6 linked regions of the Oryctolagus cuniculus genome follow. The protein of the gene in region 6 binds, or shares a complex with, the protein of the main gene of each other region. Links are inferred from orthologs where the notes say so. Each region holds a gene or a part of one and is shown on either strand. Other genes may lie near its edges. The genes, in order: CASR, RGS8, TRPC5, RGS10, GRM4 and GNAI3.

Evidence for each region.
Region 1: the proteins of GNAI3 (region 6) and CASR are in contact, whole or in part, in a cryo-EM structure (PDB 8SZH), measured with the Homo sapiens proteins. The link is inferred for Oryctolagus cuniculus from reciprocal best matches to the Homo sapiens genes GNAI3 and CASR. Residues at the interface, in NP_006487.1 of Homo sapiens: Ala31, Lys32, Gln304, Glu308, Lys314, Asp315, Thr316, Lys317, Glu318, Ile319, Tyr320, Thr321, Phe334, Asp337, Ala338, Thr340, Asp341, Ile343, Ile344, Lys345, Asn347, Leu348, Glu350, Cys351, Gly352, Leu353, Tyr354; in NP_000379.3 of Homo sapiens: Lys644, Ala645, Asn647, Arg701, Val702, Val705, Phe706, Ala708, Lys709, Pro711, Thr712, Arg716, Trp719, Phe801, Ile869, Val872, Arg873, Thr876, Ala877, Ala880, Phe881, Lys882, Val883, Ala884, Ala885, Arg886.
Region 2: the proteins of GNAI3 (region 6) and RGS8 are in contact, whole or in part, in a crystal structure (PDB 2ODE), measured with the Homo sapiens proteins. The link is inferred for Oryctolagus cuniculus from reciprocal best matches to the Homo sapiens genes GNAI3 and RGS8. Residues at the interface, in NP_006487.1 of Homo sapiens: Glu65, Gln68, Ser75, Val179, Lys180, Thr181, Thr182, Gly183, Ile184, Val185, Gln204, Ser206, Glu207, Lys209, Lys210, His213, Ala235, Glu236, Asp237, Glu238; in NP_001095920.1 of Homo sapiens: Thr76, Glu77, Phe78, Ser79, Glu81, Asn82, Ala117, Pro118, Glu120, Val121, Asn122, Ile123, Asp124, Phe125, Gln126, Arg128, Leu153, Lys156, Asp157, Ser158, Arg161, Arg164.
Region 3: the proteins of GNAI3 (region 6) and TRPC5 are in contact, whole or in part, in a cryo-EM structure (PDB 8GVX), measured with the Homo sapiens proteins. The link is inferred for Oryctolagus cuniculus from reciprocal best matches to the Homo sapiens genes GNAI3 and TRPC5. Residues at the interface, in NP_006487.1 of Homo sapiens: Arg205, Arg208, Lys209, Trp211, Ile212, His213, Phe215, Glu216, Glu245, Leu249, Ser252, Asn256, Lys257, Trp258, Arg312; in NP_036603.1 of Homo sapiens: Thr27, Glu32, Glu33, Glu56, Ile57, Tyr58, Tyr59, Asn60, Lys125, Pro128, Thr129, Leu130, Met131.
Region 4: the proteins of GNAI3 (region 6) and RGS10 are in contact, whole or in part, in a crystal structure (PDB 2IHB), measured with the Homo sapiens proteins. The link is inferred for Oryctolagus cuniculus from reciprocal best matches to the Homo sapiens genes GNAI3 and RGS10. Residues at the interface, in NP_006487.1 of Homo sapiens: Val71, Val72, Ser75, Glu115, Val179, Lys180, Thr181, Thr182, Gly183, Ile184, Val185, Gln204, Ser206, Glu207, Lys209, Lys210, His213, Ala235, Glu236; in NP_001005339.1 of Homo sapiens: Glu62, Phe63, Ser64, Glu66, Asn67, Ala102, Ser103, Ser104, Gln105, Val106, Asn107, Val108, Glu109, Gly110, Leu137, Lys139, Tyr140, Asp141, Ser142, Arg145.
Region 5: the proteins of GNAI3 (region 6) and GRM4 are in contact, whole or in part, in a cryo-EM structure (PDB 8JD6), measured with the Homo sapiens proteins. The link is inferred for Oryctolagus cuniculus from reciprocal best matches to the Homo sapiens genes GNAI3 and GRM4. Residues at the interface, in NP_006487.1 of Homo sapiens: Ala31, Lys32, Val34, Lys192, Asp193, Leu194, Thr219, Phe336, Thr340, Ile343, Ile344, Asn347, Leu348, Cys351, Gly352, Leu353, Tyr354; in NP_000832.1 of Homo sapiens: Pro616, Lys619, Ala620, Gly622, Arg623, Glu624, Arg676, Ile677, Ile680, Phe681, Gln683, Gly684, Lys685, Arg686, Ser687, Val688, Ser689, Ala690, Ile694, Ser695, Pro696, Phe781.

The regions. Positions count from the first base shown.
Region 1 is NC_091435.1:78,452,992-78,456,491, forward strand, and holds part of CASR (extracellular calcium-sensing receptor), read left to right. Parts: intron 1-3,251; coding exon 3,252-3,500. UniProt on the Homo sapiens protein: G-protein-coupled receptor that senses changes in the extracellular concentration of calcium ions and plays a key role in maintaining calcium homeostasis.
Region 2 is NC_091444.1:944,441-947,940, forward strand, and holds part of RGS8 (regulator of G-protein signaling 8), read right to left. Parts: intron 2,817-3,500; coding exon 2,715-2,816; intron 2,228-2,714; coding exon 2,163-2,227; intron 1-2,162. UniProt on the Homo sapiens protein: Regulates G protein-coupled receptor signaling cascades, including signaling via muscarinic acetylcholine receptor CHRM2 and dopamine receptor DRD2.
Region 3 is NC_091453.1:81,680,926-81,684,425, reverse strand, and holds part of TRPC5 (short transient receptor potential channel 5), read right to left. Parts: intron 3,456-3,500; coding exon 3,252-3,455; intron 3,018-3,251; coding exon 2,976-3,017; intron 154-2,975; coding exon 64-153; intron 1-63. UniProt on the Homo sapiens protein: Forms a receptor-activated non-selective calcium permeant cation channel. Mediates calcium-dependent phosphatidylserine externalization and apoptosis in neurons via its association with PLSCR1.
Region 4 is NC_091446.1:11,178,376-11,181,875, forward strand, and holds part of RGS10 (regulator of G-protein signaling 10), read left to right. Parts: intron 1-190; coding exon 191-309; intron 310-1,436; coding exon 1,437-1,523; intron 1,524-3,500. UniProt on the Homo sapiens protein: Regulates G protein-coupled receptor signaling cascades, including signaling downstream of the muscarinic acetylcholine receptor CHRM2.
Region 5 is NC_091436.1:135,251,091-135,254,590, reverse strand, and holds part of GRM4 (metabotropic glutamate receptor 4), read right to left. Parts: intron 2,660-3,500; coding exon 1,724-2,659; intron 1-1,723.
Region 6 is NC_091438.1:60,864,366-60,868,344, forward strand, and holds the start of GNAI3 (guanine nucleotide-binding protein G(i) subunit alpha-3), read right to left. Parts: upstream 2,801-3,979; 5' UTR 2,649-2,800; coding exon 2,531-2,648; intron 1-2,530. UniProt on the Homo sapiens protein: Heterotrimeric guanine nucleotide-binding proteins (G proteins) function as transducers downstream of G protein-coupled receptors (GPCRs) in numerous signaling cascades.

The sequences.
Region 1 (3,500 bases), on a different chromosome or scaffold from region 6:
CAAATAGTCTGTTGTACCCTGCCAGACAGAACTATGCATGTATCATGAAAATACAGATATAAGACTAAGCAAGAAACCTTCCCCAAAATAATATATATTTTTAAATTACATTAAAGAAACGGAGTAACATAAGTTTAGCAGTATAGGTATTTTATATAAAGAGAAATTTTATAATGTACCTGAATAACTTTGTAAGTTTACAGTGGATAATTAAACAAATATAGATGAAGGAGGCATAGGAAAAAATATGAAAGCAAAATGTCATGTTAAAAGTTAGATCAGGAGGCAAGCATCTGACCCAGCGGTTAAGATGCTCACGTCCCAGATTGGAGTGCCCAGGTTCAGTACTCAGCTCCAGCCCCTAACTCCAGCTTCCTGCTCATGCAGACCCCAAGAGGCAGCAGGTAATGGTTCAACTAATTGGGTTTCTGCCACCAAGTGGGAGACCTCTGAGTTGCATTCAGCAGACAGGAATTCTCTCGCTTGCTCGCTGTACCTATCAAATAAATGAATATTATTTGAACGTTACACCAGCAACCTTGGGAGCCTGAGTGACAGTGAAGTATAACTGATCATATTTCCCACCTCTTATTGCTGTGCTCCGATAGGCAGCTCCCCTTAGGAAGGGAGAACCTGCCAGATTGTTCTATCTTTCCCACTGGACCTGAGTCAGTTCACTGAGTCAGCACGTGCAGAGGCCTCACTCTAAACCAAGTGCTGGAAGAGTGAAACTTAACTGCACTGACCCTGTCTGTCTTTATCCATTTGCTTGATTTTTATTAAAATAGCATTCTTCTTTAAAAAGCAATGCATATACATTTTTAAGACTTTATAGTAGATCCTGCTTCCCATGTTGGATAGTTCTCTCCCTTTTTGATTCTATCAGTTAGTATTAGCAGACACTAGTCTTGTTTGTGTGATCCCTTTGACTCTTAGAAATATCAGTGTGATCAATTGTGAACTGAAGTTGATCACTTGGACTAGTGAGATGACGGGATACACAACAGACTCATAGAATGGCAGATGTCCTAAATAGCACTCTGGCCTCAGAATCAGCCCTTAAGGCATTTGAATCTGACTGAAGAGCCCATGACAGTATTTTAGGCATGGAAAGCCAAGACTCTCTGGGAAAAAAAAAAAAAGAAGAAGACCTAAATGAAAGATCTCTGCGAGTGAGATCCCAGTGGAAAGAATGGGGCCATCAAAGAAGGAGGTACCTTTCTCTGAAGGGAGGAGAGAACTTCCACTTTGGTTATGACCCTGTCGGAATAAGATCGAAGTCGGCGAACCCAAAAGGCTTCCATAGCCTTGGCAACTCATGACTACAGCCTAGGAAGATTACTGACGCCATAAACAAGAGTGTCAAATTGTTAAGTCAACAACAGGAGTCACTGTGTACTTACTTCTCATGTGGGATTTGTCCTTAAAGTGTTGTCCAATGTGAAGTAATGCTATAACTAGTACTGAAACAGTATTTTTACACTTTGTGTTTCTGTGTGGGTGCAAACTGATGAAATCTTTACTTAATATATACTGAATCTATCTTCTGTATATAAAGATAATTGAAAATAAATCTTGATGTGAATGGAATGGGAGAGGGAACGGGAGATGGGAGGGGTGCGAGTGGGAGGGAAATTATGGGGGGGGAGCCAATGTAATCCATAAACTGTACTTTGGAAATTTATATTTACTAAATAAAAAAAAAAGAAGAAAAAGAAACAGAGACAAGACTTGAACATAGACACCCCAATATGGGATGTAGGCATCCCAAGAGGTGGCTTAACTTGCTTCCCCACAGTGCCACACCATCAGTAAATATTGTTCTTATGAAGAAATGATTAAGCATTTCCTGATCCTTTTTGCATATATATTTAGACAGGGGGAATCTAACTAAGTCTTAGAGTCAAAATTCTAAAGACCAAGAATGAATAAGAAGAAAAAGAATTTTATTTTTCACTTGTGAGCATTCCATTTGTCCCACATCAACCATTAGTGCCAATGACTAATTATCCAGTGTTCAACATCTGAATTAAAATTCATGAAAGAAAACCTTAAAATGAGGGTAACTTAGTACACTTATTTAGCTTTTCTGGAATTTAACAAGCATTACTATTGGTGACAGCACATTGGGAATTCAGAGAAAATTACAGAATATTATTCTGATATATTAAACCCAAAAAATGCTGTGTAGCCCACAAATTTAACTTTTACTTCATTAATAAAGACTGCAAGCTGTCTACCACGATTTTTCCCACATCTTGATATTCATATTTTATCACTGAAAAAAGAAAAGCCCAACAGCTGCTTCCAGAACAAAAAGAATGTTTAAGGTCCAGGATCTTTCAAAAAGTTTTCTAACTCAGTATCTTCATTTTAAATGTGAAGAAATGGAGACAACATGAGTAAGTGACTTTCCTTTGTAACCTGGGTATGTCAGTGGCAAAACTATCATTACAATCAGTTTTAGAATCCCATGTCTAACTACAGAAAAGATGCTTCAAAAATTCTGAGAAAATGAAGTTAAAAGACAAAGTTACTTCAAAAAATCTGAAGTTCATGTGTAGTTTTTTTATGAGATGTATTTTCTATGGATATTTTGAAGACCATATGTTTGTCACAAAAGATGAATAATAAAGAAAAAGTAAACTACATTCCTTTAAAAAAAAAAGACTTTATAGTATAAATAAGCCAAAAGCACACAATTCCTTTCCTACCTCCCTACACTGTTTGTTGCTTGTTTACAAACCAAGATCATTCTTTTCCCTTTCTTCTTTGACCAGCAAGGATATCATCACCTAAATTTGTGACACCACAAATCTGAGGCTATATTTAGGCTCCCTCCTGCTAATATCCTAATCTATTCATATTTTCCCGAGTCCTTTTTCTCTTTAAATCTATATATTACATTTACAAAAGTACTCCACATCAACTACTGCAAACCCTTTGCTGGAGGCAGCAGATAGAAATAATTCAATGAATTACTAATAACAATCTTTTGTTATTCCTGTCCCCCAACTCTGTGTGAGGCACACACTGAGAATTTTACATCACTGCCACCTGTCCATACCTTCACAGCCACCCTATGAACAAGTAGGTGTTAACCCCATGTTCCAGACAGGACTTTGAGTCCCAAAAAGTGAACCTCAAAGCCAACGGGTAACAGAGCCATGATTCAGACCCAGCTTTGCCCAGTCCTTCAAGTAGTTAGTTAACCAGAAAGTCTCCATTCACTTCCCACTTCTTTCTTCCAGGTATAACTTTCGTGGTTTTCGCTGGTTACAGGCGATGATATTTGCCATAGAGGAGATCAACAGCAGCCCAGCCCTTCTCCCCAACATGACGCTGGGATACAGGATTTTCGACACTTGCAACACCGTGTCTAAAGCCTTGGAGGCCACCCTGAGTTTTGTTGCCCAGAACAAAATCGACTCTTTGAACCTTGATGAGTTCTGCAACTGCTCTGAGCACATCCCCTCCACTATCGCTGTGGTGGGAGCCAC
Region 2 (3,500 bases), on a different chromosome or scaffold from region 6:
GGGAAGGGGCCCCTTCCTCTCACCAGTGTTGGCTCCCCCACCCCCACGGCGCGGGCCTGGGAAGGGCGGCGGGACCTGCGGCGGGATGCAGGGGCTCAGAGCACCTGGTGTCCCCTGACCCTCACAGACCCTGCCTCAGAGAAGCTTCCGGAATCCCACAGCGGGGCAGAGCGGGACCAGGCGAGCTCGGATCTGAGAGTTGCCCTCAGACCTCCAGACCCTGCCACTACCTGCGCCACAACTCCTCCAGGTGGAGCCGGGCCACCACGGCCACATGGCCACACGGCACAGCCAGCACCGGCAGTTCCTACCGGGCTCCAGGGGCACTCGCCTGGCACTGGGTAGAGAAAAGCACCTGTCCCTAAGCACACGCAGACCCTCAGAAGCCGCCCCATGGAGGGCTCCGGGTGCTCACTCGGGGGCCAGCGGCCCCAGGGACTTGACTAGGTGAGTCAGGCGCCGGCCGGAAGAGAAACCAAATGACCCCGAGTCGAACCCAGCCAGGGAAGGAGGCGAGGACTTGACGACGCTCGTTCAGCCCAAGGCACGGCGCAGCTGCACGAGGCAGGTCCCGAGTCCCACACTTGCCGCCACCGTGGCAAACGCCTGGCACAGCTCTCTGCTTGGCCTGCGCCATGCACACCGTGTGCGGTGTCCACGTGGCTGCCCTCCTGCCGCGGGGTGAGCCATGGAGGCCACCGCTGCCGTGTGCCCCGGCCTGGCCCCCACGTCTCACTGTGAAATCTACCTGCAAGCATTTGTCCATCACTTACTGGGAAGGGGCAGAATCGGAGGGGACGCTGGGCGAAGCTGAGAGCCAACGACTTCTAAAGACACCTGCGGAGACCAAGGGCCTCTGCCAAGGCCCCTCAACTGCATGTTGACCCTGCAAGGTTAAGATCAAGAGCACGGGGCCAGGGCCGGCGCTGTGGCAGACCTGCAGTGCAGACATCCCATATGGGCGCCGGTTCGAGTCCCGGCTGCTCCACTTCCAATCCAGCTCTCTGCTATGCCCTGGGAATTAGATGAAGGTGACCCAAGTCCTTGGGCCCCTGCACCCACGTGGGAGACCCAGAGGAAGCTCCTGGCTCCTGGCTTTGGGTCGGCCCAGCTCTGGCCGTTGCAACCACCTGGGGAGTGAACCAGCTGATGGAAGACCCCCCACCCCCCGCCTCTGCCTTTCTATAACTCTACCTTAAAATAAACAAATAAATCTTTTTTTAAAAATCAAGAGCACGGGGCTGGCACTGTGGTGTGGCGGGTTAAGTCACCTCCTGCCACGCCAGCATCCCGTGTTGGAGCGCGGGTTTGTCTCTGCTTTTGCTCCAGCTCCCAGCTGAGGCACCTCGGAGAGCAGCAGGGGGTGGCCAGGGGCTCCGGCCCTGGCCCCACGCGGGAGCCCCCGTGGGAGCTCCTGGCTCCTGGCTTCATCCTGGCACAGCCTTGGCCGTTGCGGCCATTGGGGGAATGTCTCTCTCTCTCTCTCTCTCTCTCTCTCTCCCCCCCTTTATCACTCCGCCTTTCAGATAAATAACAAAATATTTAAAAAAATAAAATCCGGAGCAGGTCAGACTCCGACCCACGCCCTCAGCCTGCGTGTTGCAGACTGTACTGCGCAGTTCAGCAGGCCCAGCTCTGGCAGCCGGGACGCCCGGCTTGGGGGCGGCTGCAGGCGGCCGAGGCTCCCTGGTTCCTCCTTGCCCTGCTCTGTGCCCCCTCCACTGTGTGTAACGCCCTGGGGTGTCAGAGCCCCAGGAATGTGGGCTCGCCCACGAGGAGAGAGAGGCCAGAGCTGAGGGCGCCTCCCCACACTGCACACGCACGACCTCTGCCTCAAGGGGGACCAGAGGGCAGCAGGGGCTGGGGGAGGGGCACAGCTGTGCGCAGGAACTCCCAGGACGACAGCCCGGCCGGAGACCCCATCAAGGCCAGAGCCACAGGGGGCAACGGGCCTCACAGTTTCACAGGTAATACGCAGCTGGAGCCGCAGGCCCCCAGCCCGGACCCGCACTCTGAGCTTGGCTCTCTGGCATGGCTGCGACCACGAGGCTCCGGGGACCTCCCAGAGCCCAGGAGAGGGGAAGGAGGCCAGCGCCTGGCTTCCACCCTGTTGTCTCCGCCTCGCGCCGCAGGGACCAAGGCCGGCGGGGAAGGTCACTTACACTTGTGTGCCAGGAGCACGTCGAACGAGTCCGCCCACCTCGCCGCCTCTTCCGTGGACAGTCTCCTGGGCAGAAGAAACAGCCGTGAGCGGGCCTGCCATGGTTCCCTCCCCCATCTCCGCGGTCTGCTCCGGAGAGCAGGGGGCAGCGGGGCGCGAGCCAGCCAGGCACTGGGGGAGGAGAGGACACGGCCGGGCCGGACACGGTCAGGGGCAGTGCAGAGAAACCCGTCCTGGCTCCCGCCCATCACCTCGCGTCTCTGCAGGGGGTCACGCGAGGCAGCGCGTGCACAGGGAGAGCTGCTCCTGGGTTACCTGGATCCAGGCATATTTTTAGAGTTTACTTCCAAATCGAGAGCTCAGATTGACAAGCAGAGGCAAGGAGTGTCCCTCCCACCCACAGCCCGGCCGTCTGGGGCGCAGAGGGGACCCGAGCTGGGATCAGTCAGCGATGCACCAAGAGGAAGACAAACTCCCCTCCACTCCCACCCAGGGTGCAGGGGGCTGCCGTGGGCAGGGCCGGCCAGGCAGTGGAGCGGGGGACGCCACTCACTTGAGAGCGCGACTGGGTTTGTCGGGAAGGATGGCCGTGAAGTCGCTGCAGGAGTCCGACTTGTGCGACAGGCACCCCAGGCGCGTGCGCATCCCTTTGCTCCTGCAGACAGCGTGGGCAGAAGGTCAGGGGCTGCGGTGGGCACAGCTGCCGCCCCCCACGCAGCCCCGGCCCACAGCCTCACAGAGGGGGCCCCTGGAGAAGCCGGCCTCCCACCCAGCTGACTACGGGAACAGCGCCGGGCAGCCCGGGAGTTTCTAAATTAGGATTCTGTGCAGGAGGCTGGACTTCACGCACCGCGGCCTGTGGCCCCCAGACCCAGCGGGGTAGGGGGCAGGGGGCCTGGCCCTGCAGAGCCTCTGCAGAGATCAGGACTCCCAGGCAGCCACATCCTGCCAGGTCCCCGCTCGTCCTACAGCCGGGCAGATGCACGGACAGCCAGGCCCCCAGGCAAGCCCAGTGCCCACAGCTCCTGTTCATTTCTCTCTCAGGTTCTCTAGTTCCCGAACACCCGCGCGATGACGGTATTGCCGTCTCTTCCCCACTGCCACTGTCAGCCCCGTGTGCCTCGCTCGGCCAGGGCCTGGCATTCTGCTCCCTGCGGGTGCCGTTTGTATAAATAAAGCTTTATTGGCACACAGCAGCAGCCAAGGTCTACACCTTCAGCCACAGACTTCTGAACCACCGGGATGAGAACATCGAATCCCTGGCCCTCGACACATGAGCTTTGCTGACTCCTGACCTTCGGCCACGGCCACTCCTGGAGCTGAGGTCACAGGTGGGGGA
Region 3 (3,500 bases), on a different chromosome or scaffold from region 6:
ACTTTGAAGATTAAATGATGCTTAAGAAATAAAAAATGAGAGACCACTTAGTGATTAAATTACCTTGAAATTTTCTTCTGTTAGTCCTTCATTTGTTTTGGAATTTCTTATCATTGCAGCCACATATCTTTTAACTAAATTCCTGATAACTTCCTGGAATTAAAAAAAAAAAAAAACAGGAAGAAGCATTCAGTTTCCTTCTTAGGCTCTTAGTGAAATGAGCAATGAACACAGGAAATAAAACATGCTTAGATCATCTTTGCAACAAAATCCTTACAGGATCCAGCCTTTTTCTGCCCCCAAAATGGATTAAGTCCATTGACTAAACAAATTATTATGTCTCTGAATGTGGGAGTAGAGTGAGCCAGTAAAAGCCAATTCACACTAAGTGCAAAATTTCTACCTAAGTATAAAGGAAATATGCATTCACACTTATAGAATAATAACAATGAAATAATGCTTGAATGATCATATTATCTGTTCCTTTCAGGCTGGATTAAACTGTAACACTCCTAGGAAAATGAGTTTTTCCTCCTTTTATAAAGTTCAGAGTCTCTAAGTGCTAATTTCAATATGCACTAATAATATACTCAGGGTATTTTTTTTTTTTCAGAATCAACCTATACTTCTTTACAGGAATTGTCTCTTGATTTGACCTCAGGGCAATAACACACATATGGTCTCTATGATTTGTATTAGTGATGATGATGATGTTGATAGCTGTCACTTACTGCACTAGGTTAGGCACTGTGCTGGGCAATGCCCCACACCACACACACGCACACACACACTCATCACTCAATTTCCAAGACCCTGTAAGAAGTTTTATCATAATTCCCCTTTAACAGATGAGGATTCTGAGACTCAGTGAGGTTAACAGGTGTGTCCAAAGTCACACTATTAGTAAATGCAAAAACTGGAATCCACTTTCATTTCAATCTGATTTCAAGGCCTATAGTAACAATAGCTAATGCTGTATATATTATATCTGTTACTCTGATCTTAAAGAAGTCACTGAGAGGCAGATGTTGTGGTGCAGTTGGTTAAGCCAGTGTGTACAAAACTGGCATCCCATGTCAGAGCACCAGTTCAAGTCCCAGATGCTCTGCTTCTGACCTAGTTCCCTGCTAATGCACCTGGGAGAGCAGTGGAAGATGGTTCAAGTACTTGTCACCCTGCCACTCATGTGGGAGACTAGGATAGAGCTCCTGGCTCCCAGCTTGGCCTGGCCCAGATCTGGATGTTGGGGGCATTTGGGGAATGAACCAGAGGATTGAAGATCCTCTCTCTCTCTCTCTCTCTCTCTCTGTGTGTGTGTGTGTGTGTCTGCCTTTCAAATAAATACACAAATAAATCTTTTAAAAAAAGTAACTGAGATGTCCTTGAAACAATTTTTATAAGGACTTTGAAGCAGGAAATGAAGACAGTGAATTTTTCTTAAGACTCATTATGAAAATAATAGTGGTTAGAGGCAGGAATAGTAAGAGAAGAGTTCTTACCAAATACTGTATTTTCTGTTTCTCTTAATTATGTCCTAAGAGAGAGTTAGGAGAAGTGACCTGTAGAATAAGGATGAATTTACTTCAAGCCTGCTTTTTTCTACTTTGGGCTTCTTTTAATCAGAAAGGTGAGAGATGATTGTCTCTTACTTGGGATTTGCAAGGATCATTCTCAAAAGATGTTTCTGGTATTTGGGTGCTTGGTTGTTTTCTGTCTGGTGGGGAGAGTACCCAAATGTTCCCTTGGTTTATTACATTTTTAGCATGCTGAAATGCTTATTTAATTCTGTAATTAAAGTCATGTTGTAATTTAAGAAGAGTTGTGTTCCTAACATTCAGATAAGCTTTTAATTCATTGATGTTACTTTCCTTTTGTTATGTATTCCTGATGCATTGTATAGTATCATTACTCTATGCACTTTTTTTTTTGACAGAGACAGAGAGAAAGGCCTTCCTTTTCCATTGGTTCACCCTCTAAATGGTCGCTACAGCCAGCGCGCTGCGCTGATCTGAAGCCAGGAGCCAGGTGCTTCTCCTGGTCTCCCATGCGGGTGCAGGGCCCAAGCACTTGGGCCATCCTCCATTGCCTTCCCGGGCCATAGCAGAGAGCTGGCCTGGAAGAGGGGCAACCGGGACAGAATCCGGCACCCCGACCGGGACTAGAACCTGGGGTGCCGGCGCCGCAGGCGGAGGATTAGCCTAGTGAGCTGTGGCGCCGGCTGCACTTTTTCTTCATAGTAGATTTTACCCTTGTATCACCTAATTTTAATAGCTATAATGATTTGTTAAATATCTTCTTATTCCTGCTAAATAATAAAAGAATAACAGAAAGACTGGGTCTTGTTCACAGTGATTTCTGTTGTACCCAGCTTAACGTCTGATAAACAGTAGGTATTAAAGTATTTGTTAACTGAGTGACCAATAACATTCTATTTTACTTAATCTCAAAAATATAGGTTTGGAGTAGGGTTTTGGCCTTATAGTTAAGACACCCACATCTGATATTGGAGTACCTGGGTTTGATTCCTGGCTCTGGTTCCTGATTACAATTTCTTCCAGTGCAGACCTTGGGAGGCAGTTGTGGGTTCCTGCCACTCAAGTGGGAGACCCAACTTGTGTTCCTGGCTCCTGACTTTGGCCCAGCCCTGGCTTTGCAGGCATTTGGGGTGTGAACCAATGGATGCAATCTCTCCCAGTGTCTCTTTCTGTTCCTCTACCTCTCAAAATTTTAAAAAAACTTTCTAAGTCATGGATGCTGTTGAATACACTGAGACATTGTTCAAAGACAATGAACAGGATGATAAACCAGGTGAATCCACTGTAAAGTGATACTTCAGCCTTTGATGAAATAACAGTCTCTCCAAGCCTCCTACTCCAGTCAAATGGAACATATCCAGAAAGCCAGCATGGAATTTGTTTCTACTTCACCAAACTGGCCAAAAACCATTGTCTTTAGTTCCAGTTAGGAAGCTTTACCTGATAATGCTGATTTTGTATCAGACTGTCAGCATGGCGTTCCTGGAATTGAAAATGGGAAGACAGGTTACATAAGCAATCAGCCCCGCCCTACCCACCCATCCGGATATATTTCTAAACATTAAGATTAGAGAATAACACAGGAGCTCCTTCTTGACAAACCCCCAAAGCATGTGTAGACTGGAGTGATTTTGACATTTAAGATACGGAATGTCATAAAGGAAGGAAGGGAAGAAACAAATTTGTCTAAAGGGAAACAATTTGAAAAAGGCTTACTGTGAAACTTCTCAAGTTGTGCCTTCTCCGTCTACCATCAGGGTCTCTTTTGGGGCAGAAAGTGTTGTTGAACCAGTTGCCAAGGTATAGAAATGACTTGGGGCTGGGGATGATGTTGAAAGGAGGTGGCAAGGTACCACCTTCATCAAAGTAACTCATCCAGAGCTTTGTCCTTGCAAATTTCCACTCAATATCAGCATGATCCTATGGAAGACAGAAGTTTAAAGATTTGGAATGCCTCATTCTAAC
Region 4 (3,500 bases), on a different chromosome or scaffold from region 6:
GTGCGCTGACCAGTGCGGGAAGGTGTGTTGCATAAGTCTTCATCACCCCGGCCTCAGTTTTCCTATCTGTAAATTGGAGGAACTCTTTGAACCTGCCACGTGCTAGGTCATCACGCAACTTACTGTATGTGAGCCGTGATGGTGATGGTGGCATTGTATCCTGTGATGGGGTCTACGCTCTGTTTTACAGACATCCACGACAGTGATGGTGGCTCCAGCAGCGGCCACCAGAGCCTCAGGAGCACAGCCAAGTGGGCGGCCTCCTTGGAGAATCTGCTGGAAGACCCAGAAGGCGTCAAAAGATTTAGGGTTTGCCTTTTTTCTTGTTAATCAGGGAGGGTGTGTCATGTGCAGAGGTGGGGGAAACAGGACAGTCCTTAACTCTGTCTGTCCCAATGTGACAGTAAGAATGGCTCCGGTGTTGTGATGGCTGGTAGCACCCGTGTGGACAGCCCTGGACTGGCATTGAGGGCGTGTGCAGTCTGCTCCTGTGTAGGTGGGAGTGGGCTGGGGTAGGGAGAAGGTCCCCTGCCCATTGCTGCCGGCTGTAGGAGGAGTTGCAGCTCTGTGACACCTCGGGGGTGGGGGGTGGGTTGTCTGAGTTTCTCTGCTGGGACCGTTTGCACCTGGGGGAGTCTCGGGGTGCATCATTGGCAGAGTGAGAGAAGCTGGCAGCGTCGACTTGGCGAAGGGACCCCAGAGGGAGGACCGGTGGTTGGGGAAGTGTTGATGTCACGGAGAAGTCACTTCCTTGGCCACTGGAACCCCCAGGTGACCACATGTGAATTTCAAGGGTCGGTTCCAGCAACTTCTGTCTTTAGGTCTTGAGTCAGACAGGAGGAGCCCTGTGTGGTCAGGCTCTCGGGCGGGAAGTGGCAGCCGAGCCAGGGCCCCAGTTCCTGGTGACACCAGGCTGTGAGCCTCGTCTGGACCTCAGGGAGGTCTCTGCACTGTCGAGCAGCTGGCCGTGCCACCAGCCCTCCGATTTCGGCCAAAAGGAAACACACCTCCGACTTAAAATAGTTTTCTTCCTGGCCTTTCTCGACAGGCCTCCTGTTTTCCTTTCCTTTTGTTTAAAAAAAATGGGCTTGATTTTAGAGGAATGCACTTTGTTTAAACACTGTCTGGAAGGAACTAACGCATCTCCACTTTACTTTACTTTTCGGTAATTTATTGTCAGCTAAGCAGTGTGAGTAGATCCCTGCCTCATTTTTATTCTTCTTTACTACGTCAAAGCCATTGAGGCCAAATGCATATGAAATCCTGGCTTGAACATTAATCCTACTCCTTGTTTTTCAGGGTGGAGTTTTCAAGGGCTGATTGGACCATGCTCAGCTATTGAATTTTGCCAAGTCAGTGCTTGTCAGGAAATGCATTATTTTTTTTTTTTTTCGTAAAGAGAAGATTAAATGAATGGTTTTTGTTTTTATCCATAGGAATTTTTAAAAAAGGAGTTCAGCGAGGAAAATGTTTTGTTTTGGCTGGCATGTGAAGACTTTAAGAAAATGCAGGATAAGAAGCAGGTAACCCTTCCGTTCCTAATGACTCCTGGTCACTTCCCCCGCTCTTCATGGAGTCACAGCTGCCGTTGCAGGAGACTTGGAAATTGTCTAATGGAACTCGGTTCACATTAGACGTGAGGGGAAGGTTTCTGCTTCAGATCGGGTCTCCTGTGTTGATCAAATATTAATAATTCAAAAAGGAGTGATTTAGTCCATTTTGAAATGGAGCTGTTCAAAGGGACCGATATTTAAAGTAAAAATCACCATTGGTGTCGTTTGGAGATCATCAGTGTGCACGGCTGTGTCTTCATGAATACGTTATGAGGAGGTCGCCCCCAGGGCCTGGCCCGTCTGCATTTCTGGATGCTGTGTGGCGATTGGAGCCCTGCATGCACCTGGGGGATTTTTCCATGTGTCCGTGCGCCTGTCCAGAGCCTCCCGCACAGGAAGCTGCTGACCGTTCTCCCGGGTGGCCGTGTGCTCATTTCAGGGTGCCCTCTTGTCGCTCCCCTCCGCTGGGTTTTGCCACTGAAGGTTGGGCATGAAAAAGGTGCATCAGATCACGAGGAAGAAGGCTGTGCACTGGGTGGGTCTCTGTGCAGGGCAGAGCACTGGTCAGCTCCGGGGGAGCAGCAGGTGGTGAGGACAGGGAGCACTGCTTCCTCTCTGCAGGTGGTGAGGACACGTTCCGAGAGGGGCTCCCTCTGGGTTGCATTTTGGTTGCCCTAAAAGCCCTCCCTGTATGACCCTTGGGCTTTGCTTTCTTCTGCCTTCTTCCCCCAGGGCGATTCTGGCTGGGGCCTCCTGGGTAGCGAAGCCCTCTGGGGGAAATGAAAGCAGGCAGGAGGGCCTCTGGGAAAGTGAGGACTCCTGGTTCCCCTTTTTCTCAGCACCTAGGACAGGGCTGCCGACAACCATAGGTGCACGCTGGACCTGCACCTGCTGAGGCCAGGCTCACCCTAAGATTGTAGCTCAGAGTCGAGAGGTGAGCGCATGTGCATTTGTCTGCCTTATTCTTCGAGCGTGAGGGTGGGAAGGCCCAGGTGGCCCGGGGCCTCCCCTGCTGTGTAGATAAGGAAGTCGGTGTTGCCCTGCACCATGCAGAACTGGGGCTTGCGCCAGCACTCCGAGGTCACCCAGGCATCCCCTGTACACTTGCTGCCAGCCCTTGGCACTCCAGGCATCATGGAGCCCAGGAATGAGTTGGAGGAGCATCTTCCGGGGGAGGCTTCGCAGGTGCCACAAGCCTAGAGGTGGAAAGAATGGGGCTGTGGATCACCGGGGAGGCCCCTGGAGGAGTGACTTTTTCTTTTTTTTAAAGATTTATTTATTTATTTGATAGGTAGAGTTACAGAGAGGCAGAGGCAGAGAGAGGGAGGTCTTCCATCTCCAATTGGCCACAATGGCCGGAGCTGTGCCGATCGGAAGCCAGGAGCCAGAAGCTTCCCTCGGGTCTCCCACACAGGTGCAGGGGCCCAAGTGCTTGGATCATCTACTGCTTTCCCAGGCCGTAGCAGTAGTTGGATCGGAAGTGGAGCAGCTGGGACTTGAACCGATGCCCATATGGGATACTGGCAAAGCAGGTGGCAGCTTTACCCGCTACACCACAGCGCCAGCCTGAGGAGTCTTTCAAGTGCGACCTAAAGTGTGGTGGGGGTGGAGTGGGGAATTCTTCCTGGGGGGGAGGGGACAGCACTTAGGGGAGCAGGCCTGGGAGGAAGAGCTGAGGGGAGAGAGTGGGGACCCCTGGGGCCTGGGAAAGCTCCTTTGGGACTGTAATGGTGTGGGGGGAGGGTAAGACTGTAATGGTGTGGGGGGAGGGTAAGACTGTAATGGTGTATGTCTGGGGGACTGTAATGGTGTATGTGGGGGGAGGGTAAGACTGTAATGGTGTGGGGGGAGGGTAAAGCCTTCAGTTCTGCCACCTTCTGGCTTTCTGGCCAGCCAGGCAGATGCTGGATTGCACTTCCCGCCGTCCACATCGTGCAGCACGTCTGT
Region 5 (3,500 bases), on a different chromosome or scaffold from region 6:
ACTAGCACTTGGAAGTTCTCTCTCTCTCCCCTCCCCCAAATTCTGTTGCCCTGCCTTTAAGTAATAGATAAATGTTTCTTTAGACAATTTTTCCATAATATGTGGGGAAACTATTATGAAAAAGCCATAGACTTCAAGAACATTTACACTTGATCTTAGCCAAAAGGCCGAGAAGTGATCAAAATAAACTCATACTTTCAATTCTCTTAGCCTATGAGCATCTCTTAAGCACCCTTATACCCAAAAACCCACACACAAGCTTCTGGGCACCCAGCAGCACTCCTGAGGGTGGCACCAGCCCCCCTCCCACCCCCACAGCAGCCGGGCCTGCAGCCTGCCCTGGGCGCCCGGGAGATTCCACGTGGCTCCGGCACTGCCGGCCCCCTGGCTGCCAGCGCCTCTAAGAGTCCTGGTGGCTGGAACCCATGGGGGCTTCCGAGTTCGTCTCCTCCACCCCCACCCCATTAGGAGGCCTAGAGGGGAGAAGGGATGCATCCCACGTCCCACAGGGCCCCGGGCAGAGCTGGTGCAGGCGCTGTGTGGCCGCAGCCCTGCCCCATGGAGCACCCCTGAAGGCCATCTCAGTGGCTCAGCTCAGAACTGTGCAGCGGAGGTGGAGACGGACAGGGCGGGGCGGGACGGGGCGCTGCCTGGACAGGGCATGGGCTGAGCAGGGCTGATGCCCTGGGATGACAGGGTCTCCACCGGGCGCAGGGTGCCCGCAGCCAGAGGGCAGGGGCTTACCCGCCCTCAGACTGGGAGGCCCTCGAGGTTTTCAAGCTTCCTGGGCGTGGAGGACTCCCCTGCCGACTCCACGCCCAAGAGACCCGCGCTCAGCAAGGGGCTGGGTGCACCGGCTGCCGGGCTCAGGAGCATGGCCAGGCCACGCCTCAGACCCCAGGCCAGTCCCTGCCAGCCCCAAGGTCTGCTTCTTGGAGCACCCTGGCCCTCAGGGACACCCCCGGAAGACGCCCCACAGACCTCCCTGGGCTGGGCCCACGAGATGTGGGGCGCAGAGCAGAGGACACGGCAGCCACCCAGCATGAGCTGCTGGAACAGAGGTGGGGGCACCAGGGAGGGCCAGTGTGGGCTGCAGGTGGTGGCTCCTTCGGTGCAGCAGGGACAAGTCCAGCTGTGCCACCTACTGGCCGTGTGACCTTGGGCAAGTCACTGCTCTCTCCTGTGGAAGTGGGGATGGTAGCTACTGCGTCCAGCATCCAACAGGCCCCCATTTGCGGCTCCCTGCAGGCCACACACCCCCGGGGAGCTCTCCCTGCTCCTGATGGGCCCCCAGTTACAGCTCCCCAGACAGCTGCACTGGGACATGTGCGGGGCGCCTGCCCTGCCCCCTCCTCCCCGCTTCAGCTGCACCCCGTGCCCAGGAGCCCCAGGACCACCTGGCCATAGCCCTGATCCACCCATGCTCTCCTCAGGGCTCACCCCGCAGCCAGGGCCTGGGTCCCAAGCGACAGAAAGAGGAGCTGAGGCAGGGGGAGGCCAGCGGCTTGGCCAGAGCCAAGACACGGACAGACCTGGGACCAGGCATAGGGGTCTCAGGGCCCCCAGGAGGCCTCCGACTGCAGGTCACCCCGCCTGCAGTGCCAGCTCTGGGTGTGGGCAGGGTCCACGGGGCGCTCAGGGGCCAGGCCGCTAGGATCCAGAGGCAGGCGAGAACGGAAGGCCCCTCGGCTGGCACGGCCAGGCTCCAGGTCAGCACACTCACCTTGTCGGCCGACTGCGAGGTGCCGAAGAAGATGGGGATGAAGGCGAGCCAGACGATGCAGGTGGTGTACATGGTGAAGCCGATGGGCTTGGCCTCGTTGAAGGTCTCGGGCACACCCCGCGTCTTGATGGCGTACACGGTGCACGTGACCATGAGCAGCATGCTGTAGCCCAGCAGGCAGATGAGCGACAGGTCGGAGATGTCGCACTTGAGCACGCCCCGGGCGAAGCGGGGGTCGAGCGTCCGCTGGTCCTGGAAGTCCACCACCGAATGCGAGGGGTCCACCACGAACCACACGCAGATGCCCAGCAGCTGCAGGGAGATGAGGCTGAAGGTGATGGCCAGCTGCGAGGCGGGGCTGATGAAGCGCGGGGCGCTCACCGACCGCTTGCCCTGCTCGAAGATGCGGTAGATGCGGTTGGTCTTGGTGAGCAGGGCTGCGTAGCTGATGCTCATGCCCAGCCCCAGGAAGATGCGGCGCAGCGAGCAGGTCCCCAGGTCCGGCTCGGCGATCATGAGGAAGGTGGTGGCGTAGCACAGGAAGATGCCCGCCAGCAGCACGTAGCTCAGCTCGCGGCCCGAGGCCTTGACGATGGGCGTGTCGTTGTAGCGCACGAAGGTGACCACCACGAACAGCGTGGCGGCGATGCCCACCACGGCCAGGAAGAGGGGCAGCACGGCCCAGGGCGAGTCCCACTCAAGTTTGATGATGGGGATGGGCCGGCAGCCCGTGCGGTTCTCGGTGGGCCGCATGTCGTAGGGGCACGTCTTACAGGTGTAGCGGTCCACCTGGTACTGGTAGCCCGTGCAGGGCTCGCAGTGCCAGCAGCACGGCATGCCCTTCACCGTCTTCTTCCGCTCGCCCGGCTGGCAGGGCAGGCTGCAGATGGAGCGGGGCAGCTGCTGCCCGCTCCCCGGCCAGTGCATCCGCTCTATCTGGCAACGACAGCACCGCGGAGCAGGCCTCAGGACGGGGCGCCCAGGGCCTGGACCCTTCGCCCTCTCCCGCGCAATGCCCCTGCGCCCCACACCTGAGTCAGCCAGGTGGGTGCCTGTTAAAAGTCCGACCCCACCAGGGCTTCCCGAACCCGACGGCTGGATTTCAGCCACCACCACCACCCCCACCTACCACCGCGTGGCCGGAACACTGCCGACCTGGGAGGACTCCTGGCTGAATCCAGAGCTCTCCACACTCATGGAGGAACTCGGCCCAGAAAATAGCAGCGGTGACGGCCTGCAGTCCCCACTCCCAGCCCCCAGGGCCTGGCAACTCACCAGCAGCCACAAAGCCCAGCAGCTGCCAGGAAATGCAGTTTCTGGCCTCACCCCAGCCCGTGCGACACCGAGACCCCCTCCCCAGGGTGATCTGTGCCGGCTTCACTGCCCTACATATGGCTCCACCACGGAGCACAGGGAGCGGCGTTCAGTGGAGGGGATGAACTCCAGTTTAATCAGCGGATATTAACGTGTGCCCAGGGGCTGGCATTTCTTTCCATCTTGCTCTAAATCAGCGCTACTCACAGCTCTTAAGACTCAACGGCTGTGAGCAAAGGGGCCATAGGAGGACTGTCACGCCCTCCTGAATCCGTTACAAGGTACTCTGGAAAGCAAGCAAGCAAGAGGCCCAGAGGAGCTGCAGGCCCCGGGCTACGGGAGCAGACTACGCCCAGGAGCCACCTTCCCAGCATCCGTTCCAAATGCAGCAAGAGTTCACCAGACCAGTGCCAGGTGCCGGGCACCCACTCCTGCAGAACGGCCGCCAACTGGCCGGGGGCTC
Region 6 (3,979 bases):
GCCGTCAATATTTATGCTACACTATATCCTTTTAAGGAAGAGAACATATTCTGAGCCAGGAGAGACAAGGATAAGTACTCAGGCCTCAACTTATATTATTTGATAATTTCATAGTAATGAAATAAAAATGACTTATATATACAGAAAAGGAGATATATTCTACAGCAAAAACAAAATCTGTATACAGTACTGGGTATATTTTCCTTAGAGAAACAACATGAAGACAATTACATAGCTGTGTATATGTCTCAAGCAAGAGAATATATCTCTGCAACCTATCTGAATTTGTTGATTTGACTTGCTGCATTCAAAATCTTTCTGAAGGCAAGCATTGCAGAACAGTGGGCGAAGCTGCCACTTGGGATGCCTGCTTCCCTTATTAGAGTGCCTGGAATCGAGGCCCACTTGCAATTCAGATCTAGATCCATCTTCTTGTTAATGCACATGAGAGGCAGCAGACAAAAGCCCAAGTACTTGGGTTCCTACCACCCACAGCAGAGACCCAGCTCCTAGCTTTGGCCTGGCCCAGCCGGAGCTGTTGCAGGTATTTGGGGAATAAACCAAGAAAGGAAAGGACTCTCTGTCTCTGTGCCTGTCAAATAAATAAATTTTTTTAAAAATTGAAAAAACAAAGTAAAAATTAAAAGAAAATGTTAGTACTTTTTTATTTACTGCTTTTCAATTGCACTATCTATAAAGTTCTGAATAAAGATTTTTCTAGACATTTGGACAAGTTCTGCTTGCCAAAGTTCTGCCTGCCAAATCCTGCCATTTGGAATAAAGTCTCACAGTTTATAACTGTATTACAATGGGCTAATGTCCTGAGGAAAAAAAATACCCTTAATTTCATAACCAATCAATCGGTATAGAAAATGCTAATACCTTGAATATTGTGTTTCCCATGAAACTTCTGAAAGGCCCCAAGGACAAATGTCCAACATTAGCTGGCTTATGCTTGTTAACAGTAAATATTTAAGAAGTGCCGACCAGGTACCAGGGACCATGCCTGTGCACAGAAGATACCTGTGATACAGACAGTGGCCGTCTAGAGCCTTCCAGAAGTTCAGCTATTCACACTGAAAGCTCAGGTTCCAATGTATAACTTTTCCCCTATATCCAACAAAGCTGTTACCAGGGTTTCTGCAATCTACAACCAAGCCAGTATGTTAACACTAAAAGACACTGTCAGGGTACCAAGCACATCCTGAAATACAGAATAAGTCTCAAGTTCTATTACTTACAGAAATCATCACGCCTATTTATTCTTCTCTAACTGATCTACAGTAAAGACTAATAATGAAGAAATCTGGCTTGGTTTATTGTAAGTTAGCACAAGGACATTTTATATGATTTACTGAGTTTCAAAAATTTCAAAACTAAATTGCGCTAAGATGCATCAGACAATACACAAAAGCCACTTAACCCATATGTATCATGGTCCTATATAGAGGCATCTATAAAAAACTAAAGTCAAGCAATAAATATACCACTTATGTTAACTTTGAAATAAACATTATGTCATAGAAACATTCACAAAATTGAAAACTCAGGATGTAATGGGTTAAAACGGATACGAGAAACTATAAACAGTGATTCCTGAGGCCAGTATTTTTTCCTGGAAGAGAACAAACAAGATAGAGAGCTCACCAGAAATCTAACAGTCTTCACAGTAAACATGCTCAATCCCTAACTTACCCTAAAATAACTTTATCCCCACAGCACGGTATCCCTAACAAACATTCAAACAACTTCCAATGTGCAATCTGTCGTCCACGGATCTGCCACAAGCCGTAACAAGCCATTCTTTCAGTACCCTCAGCTCACACCACTCCCGCTTCTTCTAATAAAACCTGGGGAAGGAGTTACAAAACGAAAAGGGTGGGAAAGCACAGACAAGCCCTGCATCCAAGCTCTTTTCCTTGATACCTGCGAATCTGTCACGTATCTCAGCCCTTTACCTGCACGTTCCTGCGCAAGGGTTCCCCCGCCTTACTAACATGCTCTTTCCCTATGTAATCACTTCGTGCGAGTGATCTCTGTTCAAAGTAATCGCTCGTGTCTCACCGCTTTGTCTTTTCTAAAAAAAAATTTATTCTTAGTTTTTAACATTCAAGTGCTTTCATTTTATAAAGTGTCACCGCGCTCCAAATTCACTAATCATTATACAAATCCAGCAAGCACCTTAACCTCTCCTCCTGGTTACTAACAAGCTCAAACTCAACGTAAAACCTTCTCTAACATCAGTTCTTTTATGAGCGTCTCCCATATTCCTAATGAAGTCTCACCGTCCAACCGCCCTGCACTCCCAAACTCTTTGCTAAACCTAATTCCAGCCCGGAGTCACACCCTCCCAGCCTAATTTCCACAACCCCAAAACCCCACCCCTTCATCTCACCCTCCGGGGCCTGAGCCCCAGGACCCCGCCGCCCGCCGGACAAACCCTACAAATCCCTTTGGGGTCCGTGCGGCCGGCCTGGCCAGGACCTGGGCTCCCCCGGCCACCGCTCCAGCCCCGCCCCCAGCCCCTCACCGAGGAGCAGCAGCTTCACTTCTTTGGCCGCTTTCTCTCCGTCCTCCCGCAAGTTGCGGTCGATCATCTTGCTCCGCTCCACCGCCGCCTTGTCTTCGGCGCTCAACGTGCAGCCCATGGCGGCGGCGGGACAGGCGGCTGGGCCCGGGCTCAGTCACACACCGCAGTAACTGCGGCTCGGCCGGCTGAGGCAGCGTCTACTGCTGGGCGGCGGCCCTCTCCGTCAGCGCCCCTAGCGCCCCGAGGAACCGGATATCCGGCGTTTACGACATTTCCGGTGACGCCCTGCGGCCGTTACTGCTTGGAGCTCTCTGGGAGAGGAGGTGAGACCGAAAGCGGAAGTCCTCGAGAGGTGTGGCTGGGCTGGGCGGCGGGGCTGCGGGGCTGCGGGGTTCTGTCAAACTCACGGCGTGCCTCCCAACTTTAATCTCTCTTTACCTTCTCAGCTACCTGGTTTGGATGAATGGAGAAAGACCGAGGCCTCCAGCTCAGAGGGCCCTCCCAGAGAGTCACACAGCGGATGCTTGGGGGAGGTGAGGAAGGGAGGAAATTCTCAAATGAGAGCCCCCACAGCCCCACGGTAACTTCTAATGAGATTTTCTCGCTGGCCAGAAAATGTCATCGATTTCTGGCTGTTGGAGACCCAGCGCTCCCCGCCCCCGGGTTGAAGACACCGAGGCAGTGTCAGGATTGTTCCAGCGGTTGGGATGGGAACAAAGTGCCCAGTCTTGGTCCCGGCCAGGCCTCACCATGCCTTGGACTTAAGCGATCCCTCTTTGGCCCTCGTTGGCCCATGCCTTGTGCTCTCAAAGTGTGTCCTAGACCTTGTGCTATTAATTATGAATGTCAGTTGCCTTAAGATTTGCCCAGCTCCTATGTCGGCAAAGCGTCACTTGAAATCACTAGTTACTCTGTGACTAGAAGCTCTGTAACCTAACAAGTAAGCTTGTAATTCCTCCATAAAATGTCCACGCTGCCCTTCTCTCCAATACACGCCACTCTTGGGCATAGGATTTAATGTAAGTCAACCTCAGCCCCTCACTGTGAAACAAACCAGTGCATACTGGGAGTCTCCTTAAATTTCCTGTTGCCCCACACCAAAAAGGGTAGTGTAGTAAAATTTGCCTCTCAGTTATACTGTCACCTGGACATTAATAAATCCCCTGTAAAAGCCCCTAGCTGATGACGCTCTTTCACTGATAATACATGAAGGTGGTCCTAAATTAATTAAACTGACAAACAGTGCCAATTACTCTCTCCATATATTCTAGGAAGAGCTCTTTTGCAGCCCTTATATCCTTACCCTATGATTAAAATTATTTCCCCAGTAGAGTCTAAACATTACAATATAAGGTCCCAATGGACAGGTCTATATAATGATGATTCATTAATTAGGAAGGTTTGATCAAAGGATTAGAGTCACTTTCAACAGCCTCAGTGACCATAACG